Linked DNA regions of Elephas maximus indicus. The protein of the gene in region 1 purifies or fractionates together with the protein of each later gene. This does not show direct contact. Links are inferred from orthologs where the notes say so. Each region holds a gene or a part of one and is shown in the gene's direction. Other genes may lie near its edges. The genes, in order: RANBP6 and ARMCX3.

Evidence for each region.
Region 2: the proteins of RANBP6 (region 1) and ARMCX3 purify together in Homo sapiens (co-immunoprecipitation; 3 studies listed by BioGRID and IntAct, counting the BioPlex papers as one, with this or other methods). This does not show direct contact. The link is inferred for Elephas maximus indicus from reciprocal best matches to the Homo sapiens genes RANBP6 and ARMCX3.

The regions. Positions count from the first base shown.
Region 1 is NC_064827.1:15,964,585-15,980,710, reverse strand, and holds RANBP6 (ran-binding protein 6), read left to right. Parts: upstream 1-9,736; 5' UTR 9,737-9,739; coding exon 9,740-13,057; 3' UTR 13,058-14,604; downstream 14,605-16,126. UniProt on the Homo sapiens protein: May function in nuclear protein import as nuclear transport receptor.
Region 2 is NC_064846.1:56,577,259-56,593,386, reverse strand, and holds ARMCX3 (armadillo repeat-containing X-linked protein 3), read left to right. Parts: upstream 1-9,000; 5' UTR 9,001-9,138; intron 9,139-9,144; exon of another isoform or gene 9,145-9,293; intron 9,294-9,643; exon of another isoform or gene 9,644-9,671; 5' UTR 9,672-9,751; intron 9,752-9,988; 5' UTR 9,989-10,056; intron 10,057-10,326; 5' UTR 10,327-10,398; intron 10,399-10,686; 5' UTR 10,687-10,832; coding exon 10,833-11,972; 3' UTR 11,973-13,729; downstream 13,730-16,128. Other genes in the region: protein ARMCX6, read right to left, coding at 1-850. UniProt on the Homo sapiens protein: Regulates mitochondrial aggregation and transport in axons in living neurons. May link mitochondria to the TRAK2-kinesin motor complex via its interaction with Miro and TRAK2.

The DNA.
Region 1 (16,126 bases):
GAGTTTTATACAAAGTGTATGTAGTGTGGACACATGATTGCCTATTCTCTTTTTTCCCCATATAAATATTTCAATATGTCTTGAAGTGCTACTGTTTATTCAACTATTCCACGTATCACTGGATTATTTTCAATTTTTTGATACTTTAAAGTAGAGGGCCAAGGAAAAGGAAGAAAGCCGTCGGTGAGAAGGACTGACGTAATAACCACAACAACGGACTCAAACATACCCACGATCCTGAAGGTGGCACAGGACCGGGCAACAGCTTCACCCTGTTGTGCTACCATCACCACTATTTGTTTCCAAACGTTTTGCATCACCCCAAATAGAAACTTACGTACCCCGTCAGCAATCACTCCATTCCCTTCTCCTCCCACCCCCAGCCCCTGGTAATCTTTAATAGACTTTTGTCTCTATGCATTTGCCTCGTCTAGGTATTTCATAAAAGTGGAATCATACAATCTTCAAATAACTTCTGATAAAACTTCCAGTATAATCTTTTCCTGGAGTAGTGACGGGAGTATGTCTCCTTTTGTTACAGTTTTAGAAGTCAGTGGCTATTAATTAGTTATAGAAGTAACCACCAAAAGAACTAAAAACAGGAGAGGTTAAAAAGTGCTGACTTTGGGGAGGACGACTGGGGATAGGTAGACAGGGAACCAGGGGTCATGATTTTCATTATAAGCCCTCCTGTACGATTTGAGGAGCCCTGGTGAGACAGGGGTTAAGAGAATGGCTGCCAACCAAAAGGTCAGCAGTTCGAATCCACCAGGTGCTCCTTGGAAACCCTATGGAGCAGTTCTGCTCTGTCCTCTAGGGTCGCTATGAGTTGGAATTAACTGAATGGCAACGGATTTGGTGTGGTTTTGGTGCTATTTGATTGGAGTCCTTGGGTGCTGCAAACAGTTAATGCACTCTGCTGATAAGGAGAAGGTGGGAGATTTGAGTCCATGCAGAGGCACCTCCCGAGATAGGTGTGGGCGATCGACTTTCGAAAATTCCGCCATTGAAAACCCTATGGAGCGCAGTTCTACTCTGACACGCATGGGGTCACCATGAGTCAGTTAACTTGGCAGCAACTAATTACTATTTGATCCTTAAAGTGTTTGAGTATTACTTTATTTTTTAAAACTTAAAAGTATTGTGAAAGGATGACTGTATTGCAGTGGTTCTAAGAATTACTTGGGAGGCTTGTTCAAAATTTAGATTCATAAATTCTGTTCAGTAGCTCTGGTAGAAGCCAGGAGTCTGCATTTTAAACAAGTACCGTAGATGAGTCTATTACAGGTGGTCAGGGACCATACTTTAAACAATAGTGCTCTAATGTTTCTTTATTAACTGTAATGGTTTGGTTTTAAGAATAATCTCTTCCAAAAATAATTTTTATAATGAAACACTTTATACTTAATTTTCTTTGAATTTATACTTTAAATTTTGTTAAATGCTTTTTGGCATCTATTACCATACTTACATGATTCTTACTACTTCTCCTGATAATGTAAAAAATTATATTCTTACCTTTCTCTGTCTGATACCAGCCTTAGATTACATAGACTGCCCCATAGGGTTTCCACGGAGTACCTGGTGGATTCGAAGTGCCAAGCCATTGGTTAGCAGCCGTAGCTCATAACCACTAAGCCACTGGGGTTTCCAGATTATAGATTACAGGTAGCAAGCCTTAATTCATGACCATATTAACACAAATTAGCATATTAAGGATGATATTTTTCTACTTTAAAAATCTCTTTCATTGTTAGACTACCTTTCTAAGCGCTGATTTTGTTAATTTCAGCTTTTCCTCTTTTTGAAATTAATTAAATCTATGAGTTCATGTCAGGATCCCAGCTGGAAACAGAAAGCACATTCATAAAGTGTTACCAAAGAAAATGTACTGGAGGGATTATTCACAGAAACGTGGGCAAGGTTAGGAGTCCCTGATGGTACAAAAGCTTCTTGTGCTCAGCTGCTAACCAGAAGGTTGGCAGTTCCAGTCCACCCAGAGGCACCTCTTAAGAAAAGCCTGGCAATCTACTTCCAAAAAAAATCAGCCATCAAAAACCCTGTGGAGCACAGTTCTACTCTGACACACATAGGGTCACCACGAGTAGAAATCAACTCAATGGAAACTTTTTTTTTTTAACATATATTAGGGAATTCTATTGCGTATAAATTATAGCTCAATAAAGCTGACTCAAAATAAAAAGAATACTTCATAGGTGGTGCTGTGTAGTTCCTAATGCATCACTCAATGGTTGGTATACGAGTCAAGGTCCAGTTGGGAAAACCCCATTGCATACTTCAAGAGATTTAATTTAGGGGATTGATTACACAGATGTGAAAGAGTGAAGAACTCCGAGGTGATCTGATGATAACTGCAGGAGCTGTTGCCACCCCTAAAACTGGGGAAACAGGATAGAACAGGTACCCGTGAGCTCAGAGGAGGAGTCTCCCAAAGCTGCCGGTGAAACCTCAGGGGAGGGCTGCCCCCAGGTTACTGCTGGGACCTCTGTAGAGATGGGATGTGGCTGCTTATAGAGCGCTGCAAAAGCAGGAGCTGCATCCGCCAGGAGGAAGGACAGCTGCTGGGCCAATCTGGGAAAGACAGGAAGAATCAAGTCCTTTTTCTGTCCTCCAACCTATCCTATTGATAGAACCTAACATGGACTCAGCTATGAAAGGAGAAATATGGTTTCCACACCCTAACCTCAGTATAAGAGCCCTGCTGGCACAGTGCTTAAGGGCTCGGCTGCTAACCGAAAGGTTGTCGGTTCAAACCCACCAACCGCTCGATGGAGGAGCGATGTGGCAGTCTGCTTTCATAAAGACTGAAACCAAAACAAACAAACCCACTGCCGTGAAGTCCAACTCATAGTGACCCTATAGCCTTGGAAACCCTTTGGGGGCAGTTCTACTCTGTCCTGAGGGTGGATGGCACACAACAACCTAAGCATCACAGAACGACTTATAGAAAGTGTGGATGTGGAGCTGAGAGATGACAGGTAAACATGTCTGGTTTATTCCACTTTTTAATACTGTTAAGATTAATCAGTAAATTCAGGTGGTTCCAGCCTAATCCACCTGTTATTAAATTCCCATAGTCAATGTTTCACCTAATGGCCTTAGCATCCATTGGTCATCGTTGCCTAGATTCGTTACTTCACTTGGGGCTACAGTACAGTAGTGTTCTGATTCTAGCCTTCTTTATGCATTTAATAGCTGGAACTTATACAGAAGACCTTGCCTCATCAATTATTTGGTGATCCTGAAATAACAGCTTGTAGAGTTTTAGAGGAAAGGTAGAAACATCTTGATTATTTTCCCTTTATCAATTCTTGGAGCTGCTCACCTAGCAATCTCCACTAATGCTGAATGAGTTAGCGGCTTCTTAAAAATATCAATGGAAACTCATGGCTTCCGTTTATATATTTGGTGGTTTTAATCCATTGCAGGTATTATTTATTTATTTACTTTCAGATTGTCCCATTTTAAGCTGGTGGGAGCCTATGTGGTAATTTTTTTCTTTCTGTATTTTTATTCTTGTGAAAATGTCAGGTATGTCCAATTTAATTCTATTCTCCTCAGTTGACTAAATCTCTTTGATCTTGGAAGAAATTTGTAATTTATTTTGAACTTTTCCCACTTAGTAATCTGTTAATAAGCACCTGAATTATCTGAATTCTACTCTGCCACATTGTGGAACCATTCTCAAGCTGGCCTCTCAGTGGTGCTAAGCAAAGACCATTTTAATTACCAAATGTAACAAAGTTGTTCAACACTACCCCAGTCTGCAAGTACAGTCTTGAAGTTCTGGGTGTTATGTGGGCTTTTTAGGCAAATAAAGGGGTGGGGGGACGGAATAACAATGCAAAAAGTAAATAGAACAGAATTATGTAATCTAGAGAGGAAGCACCTTAAGATGTTAAATCAGTATCTGCTTTTTCTAAAGTAAAAGACCATAAATCATTTCCCTAATTTGGATTCCGTGGAGCTCCTACTGGTGAAATGATGACCACCATTCTAGTGTGTGGCGGCAATTAGAAAGCAAATACAGGGGCTGGAACAAACCTATTCTTCCTCTGCATCGACACTGTTCTTTAATATTCATATAAAGGTAAATAAACAGGTAAATCGAAGCGCTTCCATCTAGAAGCCCATGCCACAACTTGGGGAGATTTCTTAGGCTTTTCCTCCCCTCACCCCAAATGCTATCGATTCTACCTCTTAAAACTTCTCCTCCAAACCTGGAAGGCATTATGCTGAGCAAAATCAGTCAGAGGCAAAAGGACAAATATTGTATAAGACCACTATTACAAGATCTCGAGAAATAGTATAAACTGAGAAGAACACATACTTTTGTGGTTACGAGGTGGGAGGGAGGGAGGGAGAGAGAGGGTTTTTTACTGATTAATTAGTAGATAAGAACTGCTTTAGGTGAAGGGAAGGACAACACTCAATACATGGAAGGTCAGCCCAATTGGACTGGACCAAAAGCAAAGAAGTTTCCGGGATAAAATGAATGCTTCAAAGGTCAGCCGAGCAAGGGCGGGGGTTTGGGAACCATGCTCTAAGGGGACTTCTAAGTCAATTGGCAAAATAATTCTGTTATGAAAACATTCTGCATCCCACTTTGAAATGTGGCGTCTGGGGTCTTAAATGCTAACAAGCGGCCATCTAAGATGCATCAATTAGTCTCAACCCACCTGGAGCAAAGGAGAAAGAAGAACACCAAGGTCACACGACAACTAAGAGCCCAAGAGACAGAAAGGGCCACATGAACCAGAGACCTACATTATCCTGAGACCAGAAGAACTAGTTGGTGCCCGGCCACAATCGATGACTGCCCTCACAGGGAGCACAATAGAGAACCCCTGAGGGAGCAGGAGATCAGTGGGATGCGACCCCAAATTCTCATAAAAAGACCATACTTAATGGTCTGACTGTGACTAGAGGAATCCCGGCGGGCATGGTCCCCAAACCTTCTGTTGGCACAGAACAGGAACCATTCCCGAAGACAACTCATCAGACATGAAAGGGACTGGACAGTGGGTAGGAGAGAGATGCTGAAGAAGAGTGAGCCAATTATATCAGGTGGACACTTGAGACCGTGTTGGCATCTCCTGTCTGGAGGGGGGATGGGTGGATAGAGAGAGTTGGAGGCTGGCAAAATTGTCACGAAAGGAGAGACTGGAAGGGCTGACTCATTAGGGGGAGAGCAAGTGGGAGTAAGGAGTAAGATGAATATAAACTTATATGTGACAGACTGACTTGATTTGTAAACGTTCACTTGAAGATCAATAAAAGTTAATTAAAAAAAAAAGTGGAAAAAAAAAAAAACTTCTCCTCCAAGCTCTGCCCCCGTCTCTTTCCCTTCACCACTGCCATGATTCACACTTCCAACTCTTAACTAAACTAGGTTACTGGCCTCCTAAATGTCTCCAGCCTTCACACTTCAGTTTTCACATTACTATCAAAGCAAACTTTCAAAAATACAAATTAGATCATTTTGCAAGCTTGATTAAAGTCCTTAAATAGCTCCTCATTACCTTTGGGGAAAAAAAAGTCCGAATTTCTCAACATGGAATATAAGACCCTTCGTCATCTGGCGTCTGTTTAACTTTCTGCCATTGTCCTTCCTGCCACCTGTGTCATCCCAAGCCCTCTCCCTCCCCCTGCCCCACCCCAAGTTCGATATGAATTGCTCCAGCCATCCTGAAATATCAGAAGAACATTCATCACACTAGGCTCAGAAGGCCTCTCCACATTTCAACAGGCTGCTTCCTCTGCTGAGAACAACCTTCTTCTCTTTCTTCAAATTGTTAATGAGGATTCATCCTTCAAAAGTGAGCTCTGATATCACTTCCTCCAGGAAGCCTACCCTGATGTCCCCCAGACCCAATCCTTTGTGGTCCTGTGGCAGACTTAACCATTACCACAGTGATCACTACACTGTGTGACAGTAACTCTCTCTCATTAGACCGGGAGCATCCTTTTGTATTTAGTCTTTAATCCCAGCACCCAGCAGCATGCTTGAGTATACCCTCAATAAATGTTTGCTAAGAGAATAAATGACTACTTGTATAATCTTAACCCAGCATTTTCCAAAAGTTTTTCCAAAGTGGTTGTACCAATTTACTTATACTACTACCAAAAAATACAACTAAGTTCCCTGTTGCTTCATATCCTCACGAATACTTAGTAATGACAGTCTTTTCTGTGGAAATCATTGTGGTGGTTGTGTGGTGGTATCTCATTGTCATTGACAATAAGTCCTCAATATACTAACAGTATAGTGTCAGGAGAAGCCTTTCTCCCATACGCTTATTAAGATTTCCCAAAACAGCAAAGGCAAAGGCCCTGCAGTTAGACTTTTTCAAGGAACAATAAGAATACCAGTGAGTCTGGAGCAAAGTGAAGAACTGCAGTCAAGATCTTGGAGTCAGAATCAGAACTGATCTTATTAGTGGTTCTCAAAATTTGGTATTTATATGAAAACCCAGTATGCTTATTAAAATGGAAAATTCATGGCTTGCATTTTCCAGAAATTCTGATTCAGTGATTTGGAGCTCGGACCTGAACATCTGTATTATGATATAAGCATACCAAGCGATTCTGATGCAGTTGGTTTTCAGCCCACAGAATGAGAAACACTGTTGATGGAGAATAGGATTCTTCCTAAGTGAGCATATTATTACATATTACAGTGTAATTTATGAGACTACCCACTGTGATCCACAGGGTTTTCGCTGGCTGATTTTTCAGAAACAGATTGCCAGGCCTACTCTGTCTTAGCCTAGAAGCTTAGCATCATAGCAATATGCAAGCCTCCACTGACAGATGAATGGCGGCTGGGCATGTAGTGCCTTGGCCGAGGATTGAACCTGAGTCTCCAGCATGGAAGTCAAGAATTCTACCACTGAACTACCACTGCCCACTCCTACTTCGTGTATCATCTGGTTAGTGCTAAAGCTGTGATTTTCTGTATTGGAGGGTATATGCAGCAGCATCTTACAAAATGAAGCCTGCCTGGAGAAGTTTAAGACAGACTTTGCAATAAATGAAGGCCTCTGGTCATATTGCAAAACCAGAAAGGTAATTATAGGGAAGTGGTATGGCCAAACAGACGATGGTTCACGGAAGGAAATTCTGTTGCTGTTGTTAAGTTGATTTTTCAAGTTGCCTTCAAGCTGATATTCAACTCATAGTGACCCCATGTGACAGAGTGGAATTGCCCCCATAGGGTTTTCTAGGCTGTAATCTTCATAGCAGCATTGTTACATACTTTCTCCCACGGAGCCACTGGGTGGGTTTGAACCACCGACCTTTCTATTAGTAGCAGAGCGCTTAATTGATGTGCCACCAGGGCTGGTGGCGAAGTGGTTAAGTTCTCGGCTGCTAACTGAAAGGTCAGCGGTTTGAACCCACAAGCCACTCTGCAGGAGAAAGATGTGGCAGCCTGCTTCCATAACGATTATAGCCATGGAGACGCTATGGGGCAGTTCTACTCTCTTATAGGGTCACTATGAGTCAGAATCTACTCAATGGCACATGATAACAACAATGGTATGGTGAAAAGAACATTGGTATTGCTTTCAGGAGCTGTGCGGCTGAGACTCAGCTGTGTCTTTTAGACAAATCCCTTAACTAGTCTGAGTTTTGATTTCTCACCTAAAATTAGGATTATTTTACCTATCCTACCAACCTCACAAACCTATACCAAAAACCAAACCCGTTGCCGTCGAGTCGATCCCGACTCAAAGCGACCCTATAGGACAGAGTAGAACTGCCCCACGGAGTTTCCAAGGAGTGCCTGGTGCATTTGAACTGCCAAACTTTTGGTTAGCAGCCATAGCTCTTAAGCACTACACCACCAGGGTTTCCTCACACACCTATATAAGGGTCAAAATGAGAGTGGCCAAGTGCTCCTACAAAAGTTAGAACCTTCTTAGAGGAATGAAAATTGTTTCTGATTAGCACACTTGCCTGAATTAAAGAAAACAATAGTTCTTCAGGGGCACTTGTTTCTTGGAATAACCTCAATAGGGACTTGTTGTTATTAGATGCCATCGTGTTGGTTCTGACCAATAGGAACCCTATGTACAACAGAACGAAGCACTGCCCGGTCCTGTGCTACCCTCACAACCGCTGTATTTGAGCCCACTGTTGCAGCCACTGTGTCAATCCATCTCGTTGAGGGTCTCATCTTTTTTGCTGACCCTCTACCAAGCATGACGTCCATGTACCAAGCACGACTGGTCCCTCCTGATAACATGTTTGAAGTATGTGAGATGCGTCTCCCCATCCTCACTTCGAAGGAGCGTTCTGGCTGTACTTCTTCCAAGACAGATTTGTTCGTTCTTCTGGCAGTCCATGGTATGTTCAATATTCTTCACCAACACAATTATTCAAAGACATCAATTTTTCTTTTGTCTTCCTTATTCATTGTCCAGCTTTCACATGCATAGGTGGTGATTGAAAATGTCATGACTTGGACCAGGCACATTTTAGTCCTCAAAGTGACATCTTTGCTTTTTAACACCTCACAGAGGGATTTTGCAGCAGATTTGCCCAATGCAGTACCTCGTCTAATACCTTGAAAGGGTACTTAGAGATTCTAACAGCTGAGTCCTTTCATTTTACAATTTAGCGAGCATACAAGAAAAACTTTGAGTGACATAACCAAGGCTACAGAATTAATTTAGAGATAAGACTAGGCTCAGGTCTTCTGATTACTAGCCCAGGTTACTTTTTACCATAGTTGTCTTACTAATTCTTTTTTTTAATCCACCAGGTGGTTCTTATACACACCACAATTTGAGGACTGCTGCTCTACTGAATTAGAAGTGGGCGGGGGAGCACAAATCATCGTACTTATTCTTTTATTGGACTTAATGTTTTTTTTAAACAGCTTTACTGAGGTATAATTCATACTGTTCAACTCACCAATTTAAATTGTACAGTCAGTGGCTTTTAGTCTATTCGCAGAGTTGTGCAACCATCACCACAACCAATTTTAGGACAAACTGAAAAAAACCTCGGCCTATTGGCTCTCAATCCCCGTCTCCCTCCAATTCCTCCACTCCCAGGAAACCACTCATAGACCTTCTGTCTCTTTATATTTGCCTATTCAGGACCTTTCCTGTAAATGGAATTATACAATATGTTGTCTTTTGTGACTGGCTTCTTGCACTTAACCATGTTTACAAGGTGTACTTATTGTTTTAAATTATCAGGTAACAACAATACAGATTAGAACTAGAGAAAACCAAAAAAAAAAAAAAAAAAAAAAAAAACCAGTTGCGGCGAGTCGAATCCCACTCATAGTGACCCCACAGGACAGAGCAGAACTGTCCCATAGGGTTTCCAAGGAGCGCCTGGTGGATTCAACCTGCTGACCTTTTGGTTAGCAGCCGAACCACTACAAAAAAAAAAAAAAAAAGGAGGGGGGAATCACTCATAATCCCACTCGGATACAATCAATACATATATATTTTTTCTTCGTATGCAAGTACATTATCTGTATCTGATTGGAAAACAAATGGAGGACACCCCCCAAGCTCTTCCTCTCTCGCAGTGTCCCACTCTACCTCCCCGCCCTCCCTGCCAGCTCCCAGCCTGGGTACCCCGGCAAGCGGAGGAAGAAGCGCTCCCCCCCGCCCACGCCGGCGCGTCGCTTACGTCAGTGCTCGGAGCCGCAGACCCCCTCCCTCTGCCCCCGTCGCGTTAGTTTTGACAGAGCGCGATGGCGGCTACCGGGCTTGCGGGTTTCTCCGCTGCCGTGTCGGAAAAGCAAGAGTTTTACCAGCTTCTGAAGAACCTCATCAATCCAAGCTGTATGGTGCGGAGGCAGGCCGAGGAGATCTATGAAAATATCCCGGGTCTGTGTAAGACTACGTTCCTCATAGATGCCGTCAGAAATAGAAGAGCAGGTTATGAGGTGAGACAAATGGCTGCCGCACTGCTACGACGGCTTTTGTCCTCTGGGTTTGAGGAAGTCTATCCAAACCTACCTCCTGATGTTCAGAGGGACGTCAAGATTGAACTAATACTGGCTGTGAAGTTAGAAACACATGCCAGCATGAGGAAAAAACTTTGCGATATTTTTGCGGTGCTGGCCAGGAATTTGATAGATGAGGATGGCACTAACCACTGGCCCGAAGGTTTGAAATTCCTGATTGATTCCATCTACTCTAAAAATGTGGTTCTATGGGAAGTTGCAATTCACGTTTTCTGGCACTTTCCTGGGATTTTTGGGAACCAAGAGCGGCACGATTTGGATATCATCAAACGGTTGTTGGACCAGTGTATTCAAGATCAGGAGCATCCAGCTATCAGGACATTATCCGCTAGAGCTGCAGCTGCATTTGTCCTTGCTAATGAGAATAATGTCGCTCTTTTCAAAGACTTTGCAGACTTGCTGCCAGGAATCTTACAGGCTGTGAATGACTCCTGCTACCAGGATGATGATTCCGTCCTGGAATCCCTTGTTGAGATTGCTGATACTGTTCCTAAGTACTTGGGCCCTTATTTAGAAGATACTCTGCAGCTGAGTTTAAAGTTATGCAGCGACTCTAGGCTTAGTAATCTGCAACGCCAGCTGGCTCTTGAAGTAATAGTGACCTTGTCTGAAACGGCAACCCCAATGTTGAAGAAATATACAAATATTATTGCACAGGCTATCCCTCACATATTAGCGATGATGGTTGATCTACAAGATGACGAGGACTGGGTAAATGCTGATGAAATGGAAGAAGATGATTTTGACAGCAATGCAGTTGCTGCCGAGAGTGCACTAGACAGACTGGCTTGTGGACTCGGTGGAAAAGTGGTTTTACCAATGACCAAGGAGCATATCATGCAGATGCTTCAGAGCCCTGACTGGAAATATCGACATGCTGGATTAATGGCCTTATCTGCCATTGGAGAAGGATGCCATCAGCAAATGGAATCAACTCTAGATGAAATGGTTAACTCTGTTTTGCATTTTCTTCAGGATCCTCACCCGAGGGTGAGGGCTGCAGCCTGTAGTACACTTGGACAGATGGCTACAGATTTTGCACCTAGTTTCCAAAAGAAATTCCATGAAACAGTGATTGCAGCTTTGTTGCGTACCATGGAAAATCAAGGTAATCAGCGCGTGCAATCACATGCAGCTTCTGCTCTTATTATTTTTATCGAAGACTGCCCCAAATCATTGCTAGCTCTATATTTAGATAGCATGGTGAAAAACTTACATTCCATCCTGGTGATTAAACTGCAAGAATTGATTCGGAATGGAACAAAGTTGGCCTTGGAACAGCTTGTGACAACCATTGCCTCAGTTGCAGATACAATAGAAGAAGAATTTGTTCCGTACTATGATATATTTATGCCCTCTCTAAAGCACATTGTTGAGCTTGCTGTTCAAAAGGAACTCAAGCTTCTGAAAGGAAAAACTATTGAATGCATCAGCCATGTTGGCCTTGCTGTTGGGAAGGAAAAATTTATGCAAGATGCATCAAACGTGATGCAGCTGTTGTTGAAGACACAATCAGACTTAAATAACATGGAAGATGATGACCCTCAGATCTCTTACATGGTTTCAGCATGGGCTAGGATGTGTAAAATTCTTGGCAAAGATTTTCAACAGTACCTTCCACTGGTTATTGAGCCTCTTATTAAGACTGCTTCAGCTAAACCTGATGTCGCTCTCTTAGACACGCAGGATGTGGAGAATATGAGTGATGATGATGGCTGGCAGTTTGTAAATCTTGGAGACCAGCAGAGTTTTGGAATTAAAACTTCAGGACTTGAAGCAAAAGCGACTGCTTGCCAGATGTTGGTTTACTATGCTAAGGAGTTAAGGGAAGGATTTGTGGAATATACGGAACAAGTTGTGAAGCTGATGGTTCCCTTACTGAAGTTTTATTTCCACGACAATGTTCGAGTGGCAGCAGCAGAGTCCATGCCTTTTCTGCTAGAATGTGCAAAAATTAATGGACCGGAGTATCTTGCACTGATGTGGCAATTCATATGTGATCCCTTAATCAAGGCTATTGGGACGGAACCTGATGCAGATGTACTCTCAGAAATAATGAATTCTTTTGCAAAGTCCATCGAAGTAATGGGAGATGGGTGTCTCAATGATGAGCACTTGGAAGAACTGGGAGGAATACTGAAAGCAAAGCTCGAAGGGCACTTTAAAAACCAAGAATTGCGACAGGTTAAAAGGCAGGAAGAAAACTATGACCAGCAGATTGAAATGTCTCTGCAAGACGAGGATGAATGCGATGTTTATATTCTAACCAAAGTATCAGATATCTTGCACTCATTATTTAGTACTTACAAGGAAAAGATCTTACCATGGTTTGAGCAGCTACTTCCGTTAATTGTAAATCTAATTTGTTCAAGTAGGCCATGGCCAGACAGACAGTGGGGACTATGCATATTTGATGATATCATAGAGCACTGCAGTCCGACCTCGTTTAAATACGTAGACTATTTTCGGTGGCCGATGCTACTAAACATGCGGGACAATAACCCTGAAGTCAGGCAAGCTGCTGCCTATGGCCTGGGAGTTATGGCACAGTTTGGTGGAGATGATTATCGTTCTTTATGTTCAGAAGCTGTTCCACTGCTGGTAAAAGTTATTAAGTGTGCAAATTCTAAAACCAAAAAAAGTGTCATTGCTACAGAGAATTGTATCTCAGCAATAGGGAAGATTTTGAGGTTTAAGCCTAACTGTGTGAATGTGGATGAAGTTCTTCCACACTGGTTATCATGGCTTCCACTGCATGAGGATAAAGAGGAAGCTCTTCAGACTTTGAGTTTTCTCTGTGACTTAATTGAAAATAACCACCCAGTTGTACTTGGTCCAAATAATTCCAATCTTCCCAAAATAATCAGTATAATTGCTGAAGGAAAAATTAATGAGACAATTAACTGTGAAGATCCTTGTGCCAAACGCCTAGCTAATGTTGTGCGCCAGGTCCAGACTGATGACGAGTTATGGTTGGAATGCGTATCCCAACTTGATGAGGAACAGCAGGCAGCCTTACAGGCGTTGCTAAATTTTGCTTGAAGCACTTTAATATCACTTGAATATCATTTACCATAAAAGTAACTCCAAATAAATATCAGCAGTTTATATCTCTTTGCCACATTTCTCCAGGATTAGTCAGTGTTACAGCCTTCTGTCCACCTTGCATGTTTTATCTCTTAAACACAGACCCTTGGTGATGACCTGTGCTTCCATTGTCTTAGAATGTTTGTCACTTTTCCCCTAGTTGATATGAAGTATATACATTTTTGCTGTTCGTCTGACGTATTGATGCTGGGCAAGCAATATACTTGGTGTCAAGATGTCATGCTGAATACCACAAGATGGTAGTAAGAACTCACAAACATAAAATACGAGAACTTTCAGAACAAACGTCTTTGGAATTGTAGGGGAACGAACTAATGGCAGGCTTATTCCTACTTTGTAACACGCCTGGCTGTCATGGTAATGGGAGGATGCTGAAACTGGGAGACATTTTTGAGATGTTGCAGCAGTGTGGAGAGTTCATAGTGTACTCTTAGGACCTGGGTGGGACGTATCCCTAGTCTAATTCCCCAGGTGTCCAGCTGAGAGTTATAAGAACTTTAAAACCTCCTTAACTAGGCTGTTCTCTACTTAAGTTTTCCAGGATTCCAAGAACCATGGCTACTGAAAAGGGAATCCTGGTACATCTAACATTGGTAGCATATAGCATACTGAAACAGTGTTTGACAAATAGTAAGTAACCAGTATTTATGGAAGGAGTCAATTAGTGTTACGTGTTTAAGCAGTGTATCATTTTGTGTATGTATGCCATTTTCCACCCTGGAAAGCAGCTCAACAAGAACAGAAGCCCTGATTTAGAATGGGGCTTAAATAGACGACTATTCCTTATAGATTCTGTAGTAGCACTGGAATATTCTATTGTGAAAGTGAAAAGGAAAAGTTAATTTTAGCTTTAAACATGAAAAAGAAAACAGCTTTGAGACTAGTCATTCAGCAGTAGATATACATTAGGAGAAAACCTTTCCTAGATTTCTATAAATCTAGGATTATTTATATTAATTGGAATGTTGGTCTTTAATGTCGAGCTTTTTGTATGGTAGGAGAAAAGCTGTCTACTCAAAAAATAATTGATCCCACAACTAATAAACAAATACATCTGTCATGATTTCCTGAGGCTATTGTGAGTACTGGGTATGTAAAGTATTCAGCAAATATTTAAGACCTAATAAGTGTTCAATAAATGGTAGCTGTTGTTGCTGTTGTTTGTACCTCTGCTGTGTTCTTTGTTGTGTTTAGAATTCCTTTTACATTACGATCTCAGTTCACCAACTACCAGTTCAGACAGGGATATGAAGTTGAGATTTTAGATAACGCAATCCCTGTCCATTCCATACAATTATTAATGGAGCGATCACAATTTTGTTGTTCATTTAAGATAAAAAGTATAGATGAGTAAATGGAAAAATCCCACTACAAAGTATCAACAGAAGTTACCTCTGGGTGGTAGGATAAAATGGCAGTTTTTCTTTTCACTTACTCATATTTTCTAATGTATTTATATCAACATATTTCTTGCATAATAAAGTTTTCTAAAAGTTACAGGGCCTGTCCTTGGCCTCTTCATGAACTAGAATTGGGGACCATTCTACTTACCCACAACTCTTGCTTTTATATCCCTTAACTAAGAGGCTCTTAATCAACAGGGAGCCCTGGTGGCACTGTGGTTAAAGCACTCAGCTGCTAACCAAAAGGTCGGCAGTTCAAACTCACCAGCCGCTCCTCGAGAGTACGATGTGGCAGGCTGCTTCTGTAAAAATTTACAGCCTTGGACACCCCATAAGGCAGTTCTACTCTGTCTTAGGGTGATATAAGCCCGAATTGACTCCACAGCAGTGGGTTTGGGGTGGTGTTTGTTTTTGATCAACATTCCTAGCGATTACCTACGCTCTTGTGCGTGAGGAATTGGGAATTCTGCCAGACAACTTTGAATTAGGCATCTGGAGTTTCTGAGGTATGACAGAACCAGATTTGAAGTTTGGTAAACTACTTTCTTAAGCATCAATTTCCCCACCTGTAAAATGGGGATAATACCCACAGGATTATGAGAAATGATGAATGTAAAGTGCTTGGTGGCCTGGGGTAATTTCTGGGAGTCATGAAATAAAGTTGGTGGCCAAGAAGAGAAGAGGATATTTGCTTGGGTAGGGTGGGTTTTACATTCTGGGGCTTTATCAAAGGAAATTAGAGACGTTCCGTCTGACAGGCAGGGCTTTGAACCGGTTCATTCAGGTTCAAACTCCTGCTGAGAATGTGCATTTCCCCCAGATATGCTGAATCAGATCTACAGTTTAACAAGATCTCCAGGTGACTCATGTATAATAAATTTTGAGAGCCACTGCTCTACTAGGGGTTCTCAGAATTGGTCCCTAACCAGCAGTATTGCAGTATTAGCATCCTCTGGGAACTTGTTAGAAATGCAAATTCTCAGCAGGGGTTCAAACTGGAATGAAGGGGTTCAAACTGGTTAGAAGCCCTGCTGACAGGTGCCCTGGTGGAAGCACTCAGCTGCAAATTGGAAGGTCCGTGGTTGGAACCCTCCAGCTGCTCTTCAGGAGAAAGATAAAGATGGGGCAGTCGCCTTCCATAAAGGTTACAGCCTTGGAAACCCTATGGGGGAGTTCTCTGTCCTACAGCATTGCCATGAGTCCAAACAGACTTGATGGCAGTGGGTTTAGTCAGACTCCAGTTGCTGAAGTTCAGACATATTTGGGCTCTGAATAGAGAGACAAAGCTGCAAAAGACCAATAAAGTATAAATATCTGATAAGGCATTTATTTATTTAGAGTTTTTTTTTATTAGATAATGGGGGGGGTATGGAGGGGGAATGTCAATACCCTCAAAATGTATCCACTATACTGGATTTAACTTCCCAAAGAAAGCTTTGAGGTTTTGAATTTTGTAAGCGCTTGAAGGGTCTCATTAGTGAGAAATAAACAGTCTCAGGAGTTAGAATACCGTGACCACTTTAATATAACTTTTACTTGCTTGATTTCTATAATTTTGTTTTTCTGTTCAAATAATTCCAAGTTTCAAGTGAGAGGGCTC
Region 2 (16,128 bases), on another chromosome or scaffold:
GCATGAATGACAATAGCTCGTGGGCCCCGAGCAACCCCCCTCCCAAGGCTGGCTTTTCAGACAAACCCATTAGTGGTTTCAAAACCTGAGCCTTAGTACATCCACTGCCTTCTGATATCAAAGGAAGCTTCAAGTTTGAAACGGACTTGGCAAGCATGTTATTAATAGCTGTCATGCTTATTAACACATTTAATCCTGCCTGCTGCAGAAATGAGTTGCAGCAACGAGACACAGTCTCGCGACACACTTGGTTGATGTACATCTTATTCTGGGCCTGATTTTTGGCACTCACGTTGAAGTTACCCAGGGCACAGAAAGCCTTCTCCTCAACAGTGGGGTTAGGAGTGGGGATCATGTTTCCAACAATGGAGAGGCTGGCCAAATGACTATTGATACCGTGGCTACGTGAAAAACCAGCATCCTTGGGCTGAGCAAACAACACTTTTACCTGAATGAAAGGACTCTTGGAGAGGTCAAGAACACAGCTGACATTATTAAAGCCTTGGGCACTCCAAGTGCTTTTATGTCCGTAGGGGAACGGACGCTGTTTAGTAGGGTGTGTTCGGTTGGCCTTGCCTCCACCTGAGTGCCTGTCCTCATTGCCACCTGGGGCCCCAGGTTTGGTCCAATCCCCATCATCAGTCCACGGCCGAGCCATAGTTGTGAAATCAAAGTGCATCTCAGACTCTTCCTCACCCAGTTCCTCATCGCCATCCCATTCTTCCTCTTCTTCCTCCTCCAACTTGTCACTGTCCTCTCTTCCCACGGTCAGTTTGTAAACGCAGTAGCAGGCACCAGCCCCAATCATTAGTCCTGCTGCCATCCAACCCACTTCCCGAGCTCGACTCATACTCAAGTCTATGGCAGCCTTGGGGCAGGATAGAACACCTTGCTCAGCCTGATTGAAGGGGTCTTTTAGGGCCCAAATGAGTGGTGGTGGAGGGTGGTAGTCTTCAGCCTTTCTTAGGCTCCTTCAAGTCTCTTGTGATGAATCTATGCATGAAAAAGAGCGTTAGGGTTTTGGGCTAGGGTTTGTGCCTCACCAGGCAGGCAGACAGTTGGTGAGAAAGGTGAATTATTAGCTAACTATTTCTTTCTTCCTTTCTGTCACCCCCTATCTATCCCCAGGGCCCATCATTTCTCTTCTAGGCCTCACGGAGAAGGTGGAGAGATGGGGTCCTGCTAAGATGACCAGAAGGGTGCCAGGGAGAGGCAAACCCTCAGCTAGTCAGTTTCACCTACCAAACTCTACCGATAAAAATCTCTACCTGAGTCAGGTAAATTCCTTTTTCCCTTGTTCTGTTGGCAGTGCTCCCTACACAGTGATGGGTGGGCAGTTCGGCAGAAGGACAGATGGAAAGACTGAAAGGTGGAAGTGGAAAACTGAAAGTGTAGTGCATGTATCAGCACTGAGGACATCGGTCCCAAGACTCGCTTTTCTGAATTCTTGACCCTGAGTTTAAAATCTTTCCCACACTCTTCCGACTTTTCCCAGCCCGACTTTTCCCAACGCGAGCTTTCCCGGCCCCCCTCGTCGTCCGCCATTTCCCCTGCAAAGGCCGCCACACCCCTTTCCTTGCACTGAAATGGGAGGGGGTGTGGAGAAAGAAGGGGCCGGGAGAGGGCGACTCGGACCTGGCCCGCACAGATTCCAGACCCGCTGCCACCACCGCCACCCCCACCCAGGGTCCCGGACTAATCCCTCCTTCACACCGACCTGTATGGTTCCAGCGCAGTTTGCTCTTTCCCTCTCCGCGACTGGAGCTGCGACCTACAGGCCAACAGATCTACAAATCTGCAGAGAGACAGGAGACAGAGGGGACGGACGGTTTGGCTGCTTGGTGGACGGACCAGCACCAGGGACACGGGTGCCCTGTTTGTGGAATCTTTCTTTCCTCCGAGTCTCCAGAACCGCCGTCCGCTTCCCCCACCCCCATTCGAAGCCCGCCAGCTTTCTCTACTAACAGGGGCAGAGGACAAGAGGGGGGAGGGGTATTAAGAAAGTAGGCTAGGAGGGGACAACAGCCCGATGGGTCCGATGAGCCTGACCCCGTGGCGCTCTTGGCCCTCTCCCACCCCTCCTCCCTCAAAGCAGCGCCCACCCTCACACAGACCTGCATGGTACAGAGTTTCCTTCTTCCTTCAACCCGCCCGCAGAGTAATAGGGGGCTGGTACCCAGACGGAGGCGACTAGCAGGACTTCTGCTCTAAGCAGCCCTTGGTCACGTGAGGACCACGTCACCAGTGAGCTCTGCCCCCCAATTTCCACTCCCACAAGCAGTGCGGCAGGCGCCAGTCCGCCCCGTACCTCCCCCCACTACCCTGGGCCCTGTCACTCTTTTTCTCTTTAACAATACCAGAGACCAGAAGTGGCCCTGCCTCCCTGGAGTTTGAATTTGCTTTTTTGTAATTACAGCAAAGGAGCCCGGGTGGCGCAATGGTTAAGCGCTTGGCTGCTAAGCGAAAGGTTGACAATTGGAGCTCACCTAGCGTCTCCGCGGGAGAAAGATCAGGCGATCTACTCCCCTAAAGATTACAGCCTAGGAAACCCAATGAGGCAGTTCTGCTCTGTCACATGGGGTCACTATGAGTCTGAATCAGTGGATGGCACCCAACAACAATTACGGGAAGGGGCAGCATCTTTTCCTGGGGCTACCATTCGCTTACACACATCTTGGGGGAATTGTCTCATCCTTTTCTAGGCTCTGAAACTTCTGCACCCCCTCTCCTTGATTTCTCCCTCTTCCATCCAGTCCCTGCACCAAATGGGGAGGGGGGTTGTCAGAAAAGGAACTCCAAATAGTAGTGAGATTTTTATTAATATTTTTGATACGTTTATGTTCTATTTCTTCTGCCCTTTTTGTATTGGCTTAAGCAACACTTTTGTGTAATCAGAAAATACAACAAAGCTATTTTCACTTGGAGAAAAAAGAATAAAATATTTTTTAATGAAAGATATATAAAATAAGTAAGCATTCCCAGTTCATTGGAAGACCTCATTGACTTGGTTAAGCTAATTTGTATCGCATTGAAAACATCTTCTTCTGGCTTCATAGGCAATAGCAGCTTTTACACAGTAAGTGTGTTAAAATGATAATAATTATATAAGCCTTACAAACAAAACCAGTGTGCTTTCAATCTGAGAAGGTCAGTGGTCTAATTGTGGCCATTTTAGATAAGTAAACCACTGTTCCTTTTCCTCCTGTCTCAATTCATGGTATTAGATGTCAGTCAGCTGAGATGGTCTTCATAGACAGTTGCTAGATGGCTTTCACTCTGGCTGCAGACCTCCAGCTCCAGCTGAATCTTGCTGTTGTTACTTGCGGTTGAGTCAATTCCGGCTCATGGCAACCCCATGTGTGCAGAGTAGAACTGCTCATAGGGTTTTCAAGACTGTGGCCTTTTCGGAAGCAGATTTCCAGGCCTGTGCTGAGGTTCCTCGGATGGGTTTCAGCCGCCAACCTTTTGGCTTGTAGTGGACCACATTGAAAACCTTATGGAGCAGTTCTGTTAACTCCATGGCAACTAACAACAAGTCTTAACAGAAGCATATCGACAGAGCTTTTCTTCTGCTGTACCACCGAGTGGGTTCAAACTGCCACCCTTTAGGTTAGCAGCCCAGTTTGCACCACCTAGAAACCTTCAGGTGAATGCTGAACCTTACAATTAGTCACTTCATATATTAGCCTGCTTTCCATTAAAAGGGCTTTATTTAAAATCTGTTCAGCAGTGGGATGTAGACGTCAAATTCTCATAAAAAGATCAGACTTAATAATGATCTGAGACTAGAAGGACCCTGGAGGTCATGGTCCCCAGACCTTCTGTTAGCCCAAGACAGGAACCATTCCTGAAGCCAACTCTACAGACAGGGATTGGACTGGACTGTAAGGTAGAATATGATACTGGTGAGGAGTGAGCTTCTTGGATCAAGTAGACACATGAGACTATGTGGGCGGCTCCTGTCTGGAGGCGAGATGAGAAGGCAGAGGGGGATAGGAGCTGGCTGAATGGATGCGGCGAATACAGGGTGGAGAGGAGGAGTGTGCTGTCTCATTAGGGGGAGAGCAACTAGGAGTACATAGCCAGGTGTGTATAAGTTTTTGTATGAGAGACTGACATGATTTGTAAACTTTCACCTAAAGCACAATAAAAAAAATTTAAATGGAAAAAAAAATCTGTTGAGAAGTTTCATGGTGCAACTCATAAATCATCCAGAAATTTGAGAATTCCCTGATTTCTCACTAATGGAAATTAGGCTTAGCTGGTGGAATTTTCCTTCTATCATGGCACTGGTGAGAGAGATATCTCCAGTGTCCATCACTCATGTAACTATAGCAGTGGCTAGGTCCCTGGGTATTGCAAACAGTTTGCGCCCAATTACTAACTGAATCGGTGGTGGTTTGAATCCACCCAGCGGTGCTGTGCCAACTTCAGGAAGATTACAGCCATTGAAAATACTATGGAGCGCAGTTCTACTCTGAAACATGTGGGGTCGCCATGAGTCAGAATTGACTCCCTAGCAACATTTTTTTCCTTTTTTAGTGCTCAGCACTTTCCAGTGGAGATGGTGGTGAGGGCCTGTGGATGACTGCAAATCACTGCAACACCCCTTGGATGTCCGGGTCATTTTTCCCTCATGTAGAAGGACAGGATCCCAAGCAGTCGCCAGGAGAAAGAGACCCTTTCATTCCCTGTTTTCTGTTCCAGTTTCACTGTACCACCCACTTAAGCCCCTCAGAATAACCCCAGAACTCAGGGACAACATATGCAGAATTTAGTCCCCAGACATCCACCTGTCCCTGCCCAGAGTCATACTCTAAATATAGACCCTCCAGGCAGCCTCTTTCTTAGAACGCTGAAATATGACACCCTAGCAGGAAGCTCCCCCTTTTAGGGGCCCCAGTGTAAGGAAGGCCCTTCCCTGAGGCTAGCCAGGGAGCCTACAGAGTTTTGCTGGTGAATTTTCAGAAGAACATGTCCCCACTTTCTGGTCTTTCTCAAATTTTTCTAATTCACACTCACCAATCTTATATTCCACCTCTCCTAGACTACTACCACATTTGTTTCCCCAGCATTCCCTTGGAATGTTCTTTTTTTAGTGTACATTAGATGAAGGTTTATAGAACAAACTAGTTTCTCATTAAACAGTTAGTACACATATTGTTTTATGACATTGGCTAACAACCCCACGACATGTCAACACTCTCCCTTCTCAACCCTGGGTTCCGTATTACCAGTTTTCCTGTACCCTCCTGCCTTCTATTCCTTGCCCCTGGGCTGGTGTGCCCCTTTAGTCCTGTTTTGTTTTACCGGCCTGTCTAATCTTTGGCTGAAGGGTGAACCTCAGGAGTGACCTCATTACTGAGCTAAAACGGTGTCCAGGGACCATACTCTCAGAGTTTCTCCAGTGTCTGTCAGGCCAGCAAGTCTGGTCTTTCTTTTTGAATTTAGACTGTTCTTTTTATCACCCTTTGTTCGCTTCTCCTAGACAAATAAATTCCATTTATGACGCCTTCCAAACAGGCATTTCAGATTTAATTGGTCATCATTCGGTTTTTGGTTCCTAGGTACTTATATAAGTGGGTCTTATTGGTTTTGAATATATACACTAGAAAGGACTAAAAAGTATGTAACGCTTAGCAAAGACAGGTGTCTTGTCATAGACATGGTTCTATAATAAGGACTCATTTTCACAACCCTCCGTCAGGCTTCAAGGACAAACACTTCACTTTTACCTCTCCTCGCTAGTAATAAAATATCCCCCTTTGTACATTCTCCAGTTATTTCAGTGTATGACTCCCACTCCTCAGACCCCCATTCTCCCACAGTCTGTCAGAAAATTTACAGGTTTGAATCTCTATCTAAAAACCCCACAGGCGTGACAACCTTTTCATTTCTCTCACTTTGTCATTCTGACCCATAATTCCTACCAAGGAACCTGGGAACTAGTACTTAAAAATGACTTTGCTCTCCATTATAGATCTACTAACATTTATTTCGGGGCATGTTTATGCCTGCCATACTCTTTCAAAAGCAAAAAGGGAAAAATCCTTAAGCAATATTTCAAACACGCCTGTTAAAAGTTCCTGAGCCTGCAAAAGAGTATGCGAAGCCACAGCCAAAAGGAATGTTTTGGCTTAAATCAGTATGTGGTCAAATGTGGTATGCTGTATAGTGCCTGAAAACAAAAAAGGGGTCTGCAGATGGTAACACTGATGGAATTGGAGAGGGTGAGGAAAATACATTATAGAGGATTGTTATCTTGAAAAATGATATTACTTTCTGCATTGGGATATTGATTATTAGTTAAGCTTCTTTGGTTGCAAGCAATATAACCCAAACCTGGTTAACTTAAACAATGAGAGAATGTTGACAACCAGGGTCAGCTCTCAGGGGTCTGGGTAGCAGGAATTGATAGATGGTTTTGTCAGGATACCATAATTCCAATGATTTTCAGCTTTTTATCTCTCTGCTCAAGATTCAAATTTTAGCAAGAGAGCATTTGGTTGGCCTGTTTTGGTCACATGTCCAGCCTTTTGGTGGGAAAATGAAAAGGTATATCAAATGTAAAATGAACTTCTTTTCCCAGAGAGAAATATGAACTATTTCAAACGTTGTTTATTTGTAGGAGCCCTAAAAAAATTTTTTTTTTTTCTGGCATAGTGGTTAAGTGCTACAGCTGCTAACCAAAAGGTTGGCAGTTTGAATTTACCAGGTGCTCCTTGGAAACCCTATGCGGCAGTTCCACTCTATCCTATCGGGTCATTATGAATTACGAGTTGGAATCGACTTGACAGCAATTTTTTTTTTTTTACCTGCTTTGGATAGTAAACCTTTGTCTAGCTGTGATTGAAGCACTGGGGGCCTATCGACAGCCCAAAAACCCAGTGCCGTTGAGTCGATTCCGACTCACAGCAACCCTATAGGACAGAGTAGAACTGCCCCATCGAGTTTCCAAGGAGCACCTGGCAGATTGGAACTGCCGACCCTTTGGTTAGCAGCCGTAGCACTTAACCACTACGCCACCAGGGTTTCCCTATGGACCACAGCATATCTTAATTGTAGTGTAACCTAACATTAGGGGGGTACAGTTCAGAAATAGTGATACACACGGTTGTCCTTTGACCCAAGGCCACCTAGCTTCCCTGACAGGATACCACAAGGTTGTATCTCCAGTTCAGTCTTGTCCTCAGTGTTAAGTGATCAACCTCTGACTCTGTACAATAAGAGCAAATGCCTCTGTCAAGGGAAGTCTCCCATTCACAGAAACTTCCATAAATTTAGATTTGCATGCTCAAACCCATGGATCTCTGCATTCTGTCTCTGTAAGTAGGCCATGAGGGAAGCTAAGTCTTAACAGAGTACTAGCTGAATAATTTACCCTGAGAAATACAACTGTGAGGGGGTACTGGAGGTTTTTGTCAGTCAGCCTGTTCTCTCCATGTAGGCAAGCTACTATTTGGGAAGTCACATCTTCAGAAGGTTGCTTGGTGAGCCTGCGATCAGAGAAAGGACAGTCGGTTCACCTTAAGAAGTAGCTTTCAGCTAAGGGAGCTTGAAGCACTTACACATCATGGGGATGGCTCTGGCAAGGAAAGCTAAATGTTCCATTTATCTTAGCCAAGGCTTCTCCCCAGACAGTGCTTGGGTTGGAAACTACCAACATTTCACTCTGACTTTCCTTTTCATATATTTCTATGCTTAAATAATTCCCTTCACATGATATATCTGTAAACACAGAGCCATATAGTTGATGTGGTTTCTGTTTACTAAATTTCAATCATATCCTAGTACTGCCTTCCAGAAGTTACTCGATATGAATTTTCTTGGAGCTTTACCTGTTCCCAAACTCTGCAGACTCTTGATTTACTCTCATATTGTCTGTAGATTTTTAAAAGTTATACACAGGCCCTGTTCTGACATTATTACTTCTCCCATTTAAAAAAAAAAAGTTAAATAATTGATGATAGATGTATCATTGAGATCATCAAACCAGTCAGTGGAAGAGTTTCACTCTATTGCTAGATGCAGAGTTCAGCCAATTTTGTCTTGGTCTCAGTGTTCCTCAATATCTATTTCATTTCAAGGTGATATTTTCTACTTCTACCCAAGACTATCTTGTAATGGTCTTTGCAGGTCACTCACTTTGTCAGTGTGCGTGCTTCTTTATCTTATAGATACCCACCAAGAAGTTGTGATTTCTACTCCACCTTTTCTGTGCTTCTGGCTTCTGAGGGCTCAATGCCTCTTCCTTGATAACAGATGGGGGCAAAAGTCTGTAGCTTTCCCATGTAAAAGACCAGCCTAGCCAGAAGATTTACAAATTCTCAGACGCAATGATTAGTTAGCTTGTTCAGGGTTGTGTTATGTGCCAGGGCCCAGAAAACATTAAGATTGTTTTAAGTGAAGTGGGTAACGCTGCCCGTAAAGGGAGAAAATGTGGAACTTTTGGAGGCCATCACCTAACGTCAATCTCCCACTCCTCCTTTTTTCCCACTCAAATGAAAATAGCTTTATTGTATTTTTTTTTTTCTCATAGAAAGAATGCAGACTGGAGGTGGGAGCAGGGGCAGACAAAAAGAACAAAAAAGTATTAAGAAAGTAAAAACCACACTCTCACTCCTAGGCCTCCTTTTCCGATGGCTTGTGCATTTCAGATCTAGGACTAGATTTCAGAGGAAATGGTAGACATTAATAGCTGGAAGGAGAGGAGGTGGAGGGAGAGTCTGCTGTCCCAGGAGCCCAGGAAGGAGGAGGTAAAATTTCAAAAAAAAAGTACAAGTAGCCAGTAGCCCCAGGGGAGGATGCTGTCCCTTTCTGGTAGTCAAAGGAAGGCGAATACAACCACAGGGAGATGGGATTAGCGAGGAGGAAAGAAGTGACAAGGCCGAGTACAGGGGAAGGAAAGGAGGGGGGCGGGCCCTCTTCTGCCGCACTGCTGGTGGGAGGGGAAATTGGGGACCCGAGTTGGTGGATGACGTAGCTCTCACGTGACCAAGAGCTGACGTGTGCAGAAGTCCTTCTTGTCCTGGTCGTTGTTCCCGTCTGAGTACCAGCTCCCCATTGCCCTGAGGGCGGGCGGGCCTGCTGCAGGGGGAAGAAGGAGGAGGAGAAGGCAATTGTCCCGGATTCTTGCAGGTCAGTGCCTAGGAGATTCCATAAGGTGGGGTTAGCCCAAGGCGTAGGGCGGAGACCGTCGCGGGTCCTGGGGCGCCTTGGTCCGTCTCTCCCCCTCGCCTCCCGCTGTCCGAGACGTATGTCCCGCTCGCAGGCCGTTTAGATGCTTCGAAACGGTGAGCAGGGGCATATTTGGGGTGGAGCCCAGAGATCTGGAGGTGGGAATCTGCTGGGAGCAGAGGCTTGCAATCCGGAAAGGGAGCTGCAGCCTGGGTGTTGGCTCCCAGTTTACCAGGACAGTGCCGGCGGGTAAAGCTGGGTATGGGGAGGTGGTGGGGTGCAACGCGGTGTGTTAGCGGAGCCCCGAGAGAGGTAATAAGGGTGGGAACCCTTTGACAATCGGGCCTCCGAATTTGAAAAGAGTTTCGTGTTCTGGGGACTGGTCCGTCCAGCAAGCACTCAGTAGCGGCTGTTTCCCGTCTTTCTGTCTGTGTCTGTGGCTTCCTGACCGTGGCTCTGTGTCTAGTGGGTCCGATCCTCTCTCGGGTGGCCAGTCTTTACGTAGGTTTCGGCACAACGCTGGGCAAGAGAAGAGGAAGGAAATCAACCTCGATCGGTGAAGGTCGATTTGAGGGTAAGGTCATCTGCGGACCCCAGGAGGGGCGGGCGTGGGGGTGGGGAGAAACCAGAGATGGTAATCTAGGTTCAGCTCTGAGTCTGAGTATTTTTCTCACTCCCGGGACTGTGGGGAAATGGCGTGCGTTGGGGAAGAGGGGAGAGGGTGGCAGGAGGGAAACCTATCAGATAGTTTGTTCATAATCCTCCTCTCTCATCCAGCAGTTAGTCCCCATGTTTTCGATCTGTCATCCAGCAGGTCTGCTGTAGCAGGTGGCACCGCTTGAAGCGAGGGAGGAAGTTTCCCCCCCATCAGCAGTCGAGGTTGGTGTGGAGGTAGGGGCTGTCTGGGGGGGGGGCCGGAGATCAGCTGAAGTTTGGACCAGCTCATCCGCTGCTGCCTTATTTTCCTTCCATCCCTCCCATTTCAGGCTAAGGGAGAGGGGCAGGCATGAGCATGTTTTGAATGGAGTAGAGGGGTAGAGAGGTTAAAGAAAATGACAATCGGATTGTGAATCGGGAAACTGACAGGGGAACAGGGTACTAGTCTGTGCATGGAGCCCTCAGTCCTCACTGGCTCTGGTCTCTCTGCAGATCCCAAGGGTTGCTGGGCGTGGCACACCTCCAGGGGAGGGAAGAAGGAGCAAACTGCCCTGTCTTGTGGAGGTTAGTGAAAGGGTGCTATTCCCTGGGAATGGCTGAGGGGCGAGGGGTGGGGCTGAGCCCTAGCAGAGTCCCTGGGCTCCATTGCTTTTATCTAGGTCCGGGTGGGAGTGAGCTGGGAGGGGGGCGGTGCTGGGAGAGGGTGAAATGAAGGGCGTAGAGAGAGTTTAACAATCCACCTTTGACACCAAGCACTCAGTTACTACTCTCCTGTCCCTTGGTGCAACTCTCCTCTTGGGAGGACACAAAGAGAAGCGAAAGTCAAATTCCGTTTCATTCCTCCACTCTTAGGTCCACCTGCAGTATCAGCTGTTGTGGCCTTGAAGTGGCTGAAGACTACTACCCTCCACAGGCCTAAATCCAGGCCCACAGCCATCCTCCCCCGGCCTGAGTGACTACTCTGTTCCTTGGTCCCTGCTATTGTCAGGGACGATTGCATGGGCTACGCTAGGAAAGTAGGCTGGGTGACAGCGGGACTGGTGATCGGGGCTGGTGCCTGCTATTGCATTTATAGACTGACCAGAGGAAGAAAACAGAACAAAGAGAAAATGGCTGAGGGCGGGTCTGGGGATATGGATGATACTGGCGACTGTTCTGGGGGCAGGTACAACGACTGGTCTGATGATGATGACGACAACAATGAGAACAAGGGCGTTGTATGGTACCCGCCTTGGGCCCGGATTGGGACTGAGGCCGGGACCAGAGCTAGGGCCAGGGCCAGGGCCAGGGCCACCCGGGCACGTCGGGCCGTCCAGAAACGGGCTTCCCCCAATTCAGATGATACTATTTTGTCCCCTCTAGAGCTGCAAAAAGTTCTTTGCTTGGTTGAGATGTCTGAAAAGCCTTATATTCTTGAAGCAGCTTTAATTGCTCTGGGTAACAATGCTGCTTATGCATTTAATAGAGACATTATTCGGGATCTGGGTGGTCTCCCAATCGTTGCAAAGATTCTCAATACCCGCGATCCCATAGTTAAGGAAAAAGCTTTAATTGTTCTGAATAACTTGAGCGTGAATGCTGAAAATCAGCGCAGGCTTAAGATATACATGAATCAAGTGTGTGACGACACAGTCACGTCTCGCTTGAACTCATCTGTGCAGCTGGCTGGACTAAGACTGCTTACAAATATGACTGTTACCAATGAGCATCAGCACATGCTTGCTAATTCCATTTCAGACTTTTTTCGTTTATTTTCAGCAGGAAATGAAGAAACCAAGCTTCAGGTTTTGAAACTCCTTTTGAATCTGGCTGAAAATCCAGCCATGACTAGAGAACTGCTCAGGGCCCAAGTACCGTCTTCACTGGGTTCCCTCTTTAATAAGAAGGAGAACAAAGATATTATTCTTAAACTTTTGATCATATTTGAGAATATAAGTGACAATTTTAAATGGGAAGAAAATGAACCTACTCAGAACCACTTCGGCGAAGGTTCACTTTTTTTCTTTTTTAAAGAATTTCAAGTATGTGCTGATAAGGTTTTGGGAATAGAAAGTCACCATGATTTTTTGGTGAAAGTAAAAATTGGAAAATTCATGGCCAAACTGGCTGAGCATATGTTTCCAAAGAGCCAGGAATAACGTCTTAATTTTGCAGTCTAGAAGCAATGTGTATTATAAGCTAGTCCTTTTCTCCACCTTGTTTATTTGGTAAAGGAATCCTTTCAGCTGCCAATTTTGAATAATGAATATCATATTGTATCATCAATGCTGATATTTTCCAAGTTGGCCTTCAGGTTTCAGCTGGATGAATGAATATTATACTTGTTCTGAAAACATGTTTGTTGCTTTTTATCTTGCTGCCTAGATGGAAATGTTTTTTCTATTTTCTCAGCATAAGTGACAGTGAACCAATTCATCGTAAGTGAGCTCCTTTCTGTCATTTGCATTGACTTCATTCGTGTCTCATCAATAGAATTGTGGAAAGAAAAGGGGAAGGAAAAAAAGGGAAAGAACGACAGAAACCATCTTTGTCTTTTGGTTTATAATCTAGTTGAAGAGATAAGAAACGTACAGACAGAAAGATAACAGAATAGCTTGAGCGTATGCTTGTTGTCAAATGTGCACTCTCAGAGTACAGAGGAGACAGAGGTTTCTGTGGGTAAGGATAGTCAGCTAAAGCTTCTTGGAGGAGATAGGAGTGAGGGAGGATGGGGTGAGAAAAGCATAGAGGTAGGAACCCTGTTTCGGTGAGGAAACCAATCTGTTTACAGTGGAGAGTGTGGGAAGTGGGAGTAGGGCATACATTTGGAGGGCTGGATGAGGCTAGTTTGTGGAAAGCTGTTTGAATATTATCTCATTGAACACTGAGAGCCTCTAAATATTTTCAACTAGATAGAATATTTGGGACCCATATAAAAATCTTTCTCTCCTACTGTGCAGTGTTGGAAAGAGCGTGGCAAAATGGACACTTTCAAACCCTGGCAATGGGAATGAGTTTACGCTGGCACCAGGTTTGCGGAGGGCCATTTGGTAATATATAGCATAAGCTTCAAACATGTAAACTCTTTGACTCACAGGAATTTGTCCTAAGTAAATAACTGGATAATTGGCCAAACAGTATATGTACAAGGCTGTTCATCCTAGTGCTATCTAAAGTAGTAAAAATTGGGAACAACCTAAGTGTCTAGTACACTGGGTGGGTTAAATAAATTATGGCATGTTCACACAGTGGAATGCAATAAATATGTTGATGAAAATTTACATTGCCAGGAAAAGATATTCACCATGCATTGTTGAGTGAGAAAGGTAGAGTTAGATAGCAGTAATCATAGTATGATTGCACTTTTTTTTTAATAGTAAAGCATATGTTTAAATAGACATTACAAACTCTGGAAATATAGATACCCAAACAGTCTTATCTCTGGGTGGGAAATGAGTGATTTTTACCTTTTTACTTTTTATTCATCTATGTGTTCTCATTTACCTATAATGAGCATTGATTTTTAGGAAATTTTTGAAAAAGAAAAGTATTGGGAATGAAGCAGGTGATCGACTGGAGTATGTACTGAGTGGAAAAAACATTTGGATTAAAAATTCAGTGCTTCCTCTCTGAAATCGAAGCTTCCTCTCTGAAATGACAGATAAGTGGAGAAGATGGGCCTTGTCATGAGGATTAAATGAAGTAATACATGCAAAGTACTTACAATGTTCTGGCACATAGCAGTTAATCGAGAAAAGTGAGCACCCTTAATTCCTTAGAATGCAGGGTTGATAGTTTTTTGGTTGACCTTTGTTTTGCTGGGGTATTCTGCCATGTGTCAGTGTCATTTAATTAAAAAAAAAACAATAAAAGTTAACATTTATTAAGTGACTATTTGTAGAGTTCTGTCATTCCTGCAAAGCAACCTTCCAAATAGTTTCTCAAAGGAATAAAGTTTTTGTTCTTTTTTAAGAGACCAAGTGTTTCCTCAGACATGATCTCACCAACCTCCACAACATAGTCCTACTTGGTTTGGAAGGCCAGATGATGGTATCCTATTTTATTGTATGAGGCCAGGAAAGAGTAAAATCTTCTGGCTAGTTCAATACTAGTTTTAACTCCAGGTCTCTAGATACTCTAATGTCTGTAGTAGACAAAAGGATCAGAGACTGGTTGGTTTACAGTTATTGGGTATGGTGACCCTACTGAACCATGTACAAGTGGGGACTCATTTGACACGAGTTGTAAGGGGCGGGGATGAGGGGAAGGGAATTAAAATTTTCCTTGCTCCTATTGTTAGGTGGAAGAAACAGATTTGGGAGGGAACGAGGATGAATCCAGCTTAAAATGGGGAATAGAGTTTGAAAGGTACCTAGTTAGCCCAGATGGTTTGCACTTGGCTGGTAACCAAAAGATTGGTTCGAATCCACCCAGTGGCACCATGGAAGAAACAGGCCTGGCGATCTGCTTCTGTAAGTTACAGCCAAGAATGCCCTGTGGAGCAGTTCTGCTGTGTAACACAGGGGTCTCTTAAGTCACAAATTAACCACAACAACAACAACAAAAAAAAACGAAAAACCAACAATAAAATAATGTTTGAGGTACCTGTTGGGACATTGAGATAGGAACACACTGTTGTCATTTGAATGCATTAATCAGAGTTCAGAGGAGAAGTGCGGGCTGCAGATAGGATTTGGGATTGAGGACACAGGAGTGGATGTGGTCCTTCAGAGAGAAGATGCAGAGTGAAGGGCCGAGGGCTGCAAATAGAATTCTGTAAGGGACTGTGACAGCTGTGGAGAGCAGGACAGAATTGAAACTGAGTGTATACCCTTCCAGACATTTTTACTACACATATATCTATATATTCTTCACATGAGGTTGGATCATGCTGCAGATACATTTTCAGAATCTGATTTAATTTTTTCCTCACAAAAATAATAAATAATAATAAATATTTACTAGAGATAGTTGAGAAAATAGAGGCAATGACTGCAAACTTGTCCCCTGACCCAGATATGCAACTTGAGCATCTGAGAAATATTCATTTCAAGGCATGTTGATCTTGAGGTGCTGAGTGACTCTTGCAGCTGGGGTGAACATGACATTAACTTCCCAGTAATAAGAAGCCAAGGGGCCCTGGTGGCGCAATGGTTACGTGCTTGACTGCTAACAGGAAGGTCAGCGGTTTGAACACACGAGTGGGAGAAAAGACCTGGCAATGTGCTCCCATAAAGGTTACAGCCAGAAAGCCCTATGGAGCAGTTCTAGTCTGACCTATAGGGTCGCTGTGAGCCGGAATTGACTCTACAGCACACAACAATGATAATAAAAAGCCACAGCGAGGCAGGGGCACAAGCCTTCAGGAGAAAGATGTGGCAGTCTGCCTCTAAAGATTTACAGCCTTGGAAGCCCTATGGAGCTGCCCTATAGGGTTGCTATGAGTCAGAATCTACGCAACGGCAGTGGATTTGGTTTGGTTGTCCCTTCTCATTTTTCTTTCTTCCTCCCTCATACTTTTTTATTTCCTCCCGGAGAGATAATTGGTGATAGTTTTTAGGGGTTGATGTGCTTCTGTGTCTTTCGAGATGACCCTTTAATTCTCATGAAACTATCGCACACACCAAAAACAAACCTGTTGCCGTTGGGTTGATTCCAACTTATAGCAACCTTATAGGACAAGAGTAGAATAGTCCCATAAGGTTTTCAAGGCTGTAATCTTTACAGAAGCAGATTGACACAGCTTTCTCCTATGGAGTGACTGGTGGGTTCAAACTGCCAACCTTTCTGTTAGCAGAACCGCTGCTTAACCACTGTGCAACCAGGCCTCCTTTCTCATGCACCATTGGGCATTTAATACGGAATAGTAATTGTCGTTGTTATAGTCATAAGGTGACTCTGGTTGCAACTGAATACCAAGATTTTTTGGAACCCTTGTTGAACAGAGACTGGGAAAGAATGAACTAGCCTTAGACTGACACAGCCCTCCGTGCACTGCATGCAGTTTTGATGTCCCCCACCTGGCTTTTCTGGACTTTGAGAGAAGTGCTGTGTGAGACAGTTGCGTAACTGCCTGATCCAGGCCGGTCACAGGGTCGGGCTACACACCAATGTCCTAATGTTTTCACTTTGGACATTATCACTCTCACACTTTTGGGGGATTGTCGTGGTGAACTTGTTCATGAGGACAGGGAGGAGGCAGGATCCTCTCTTTAGACACGATGGCTGCTCCTGAGCAGCTAAGGAAATTGGAAAACTCAGAGAAAAGCCTGCTGTTTTGTTCTCATTTAACTGTTTTAGGAATAGGGGAGGGTC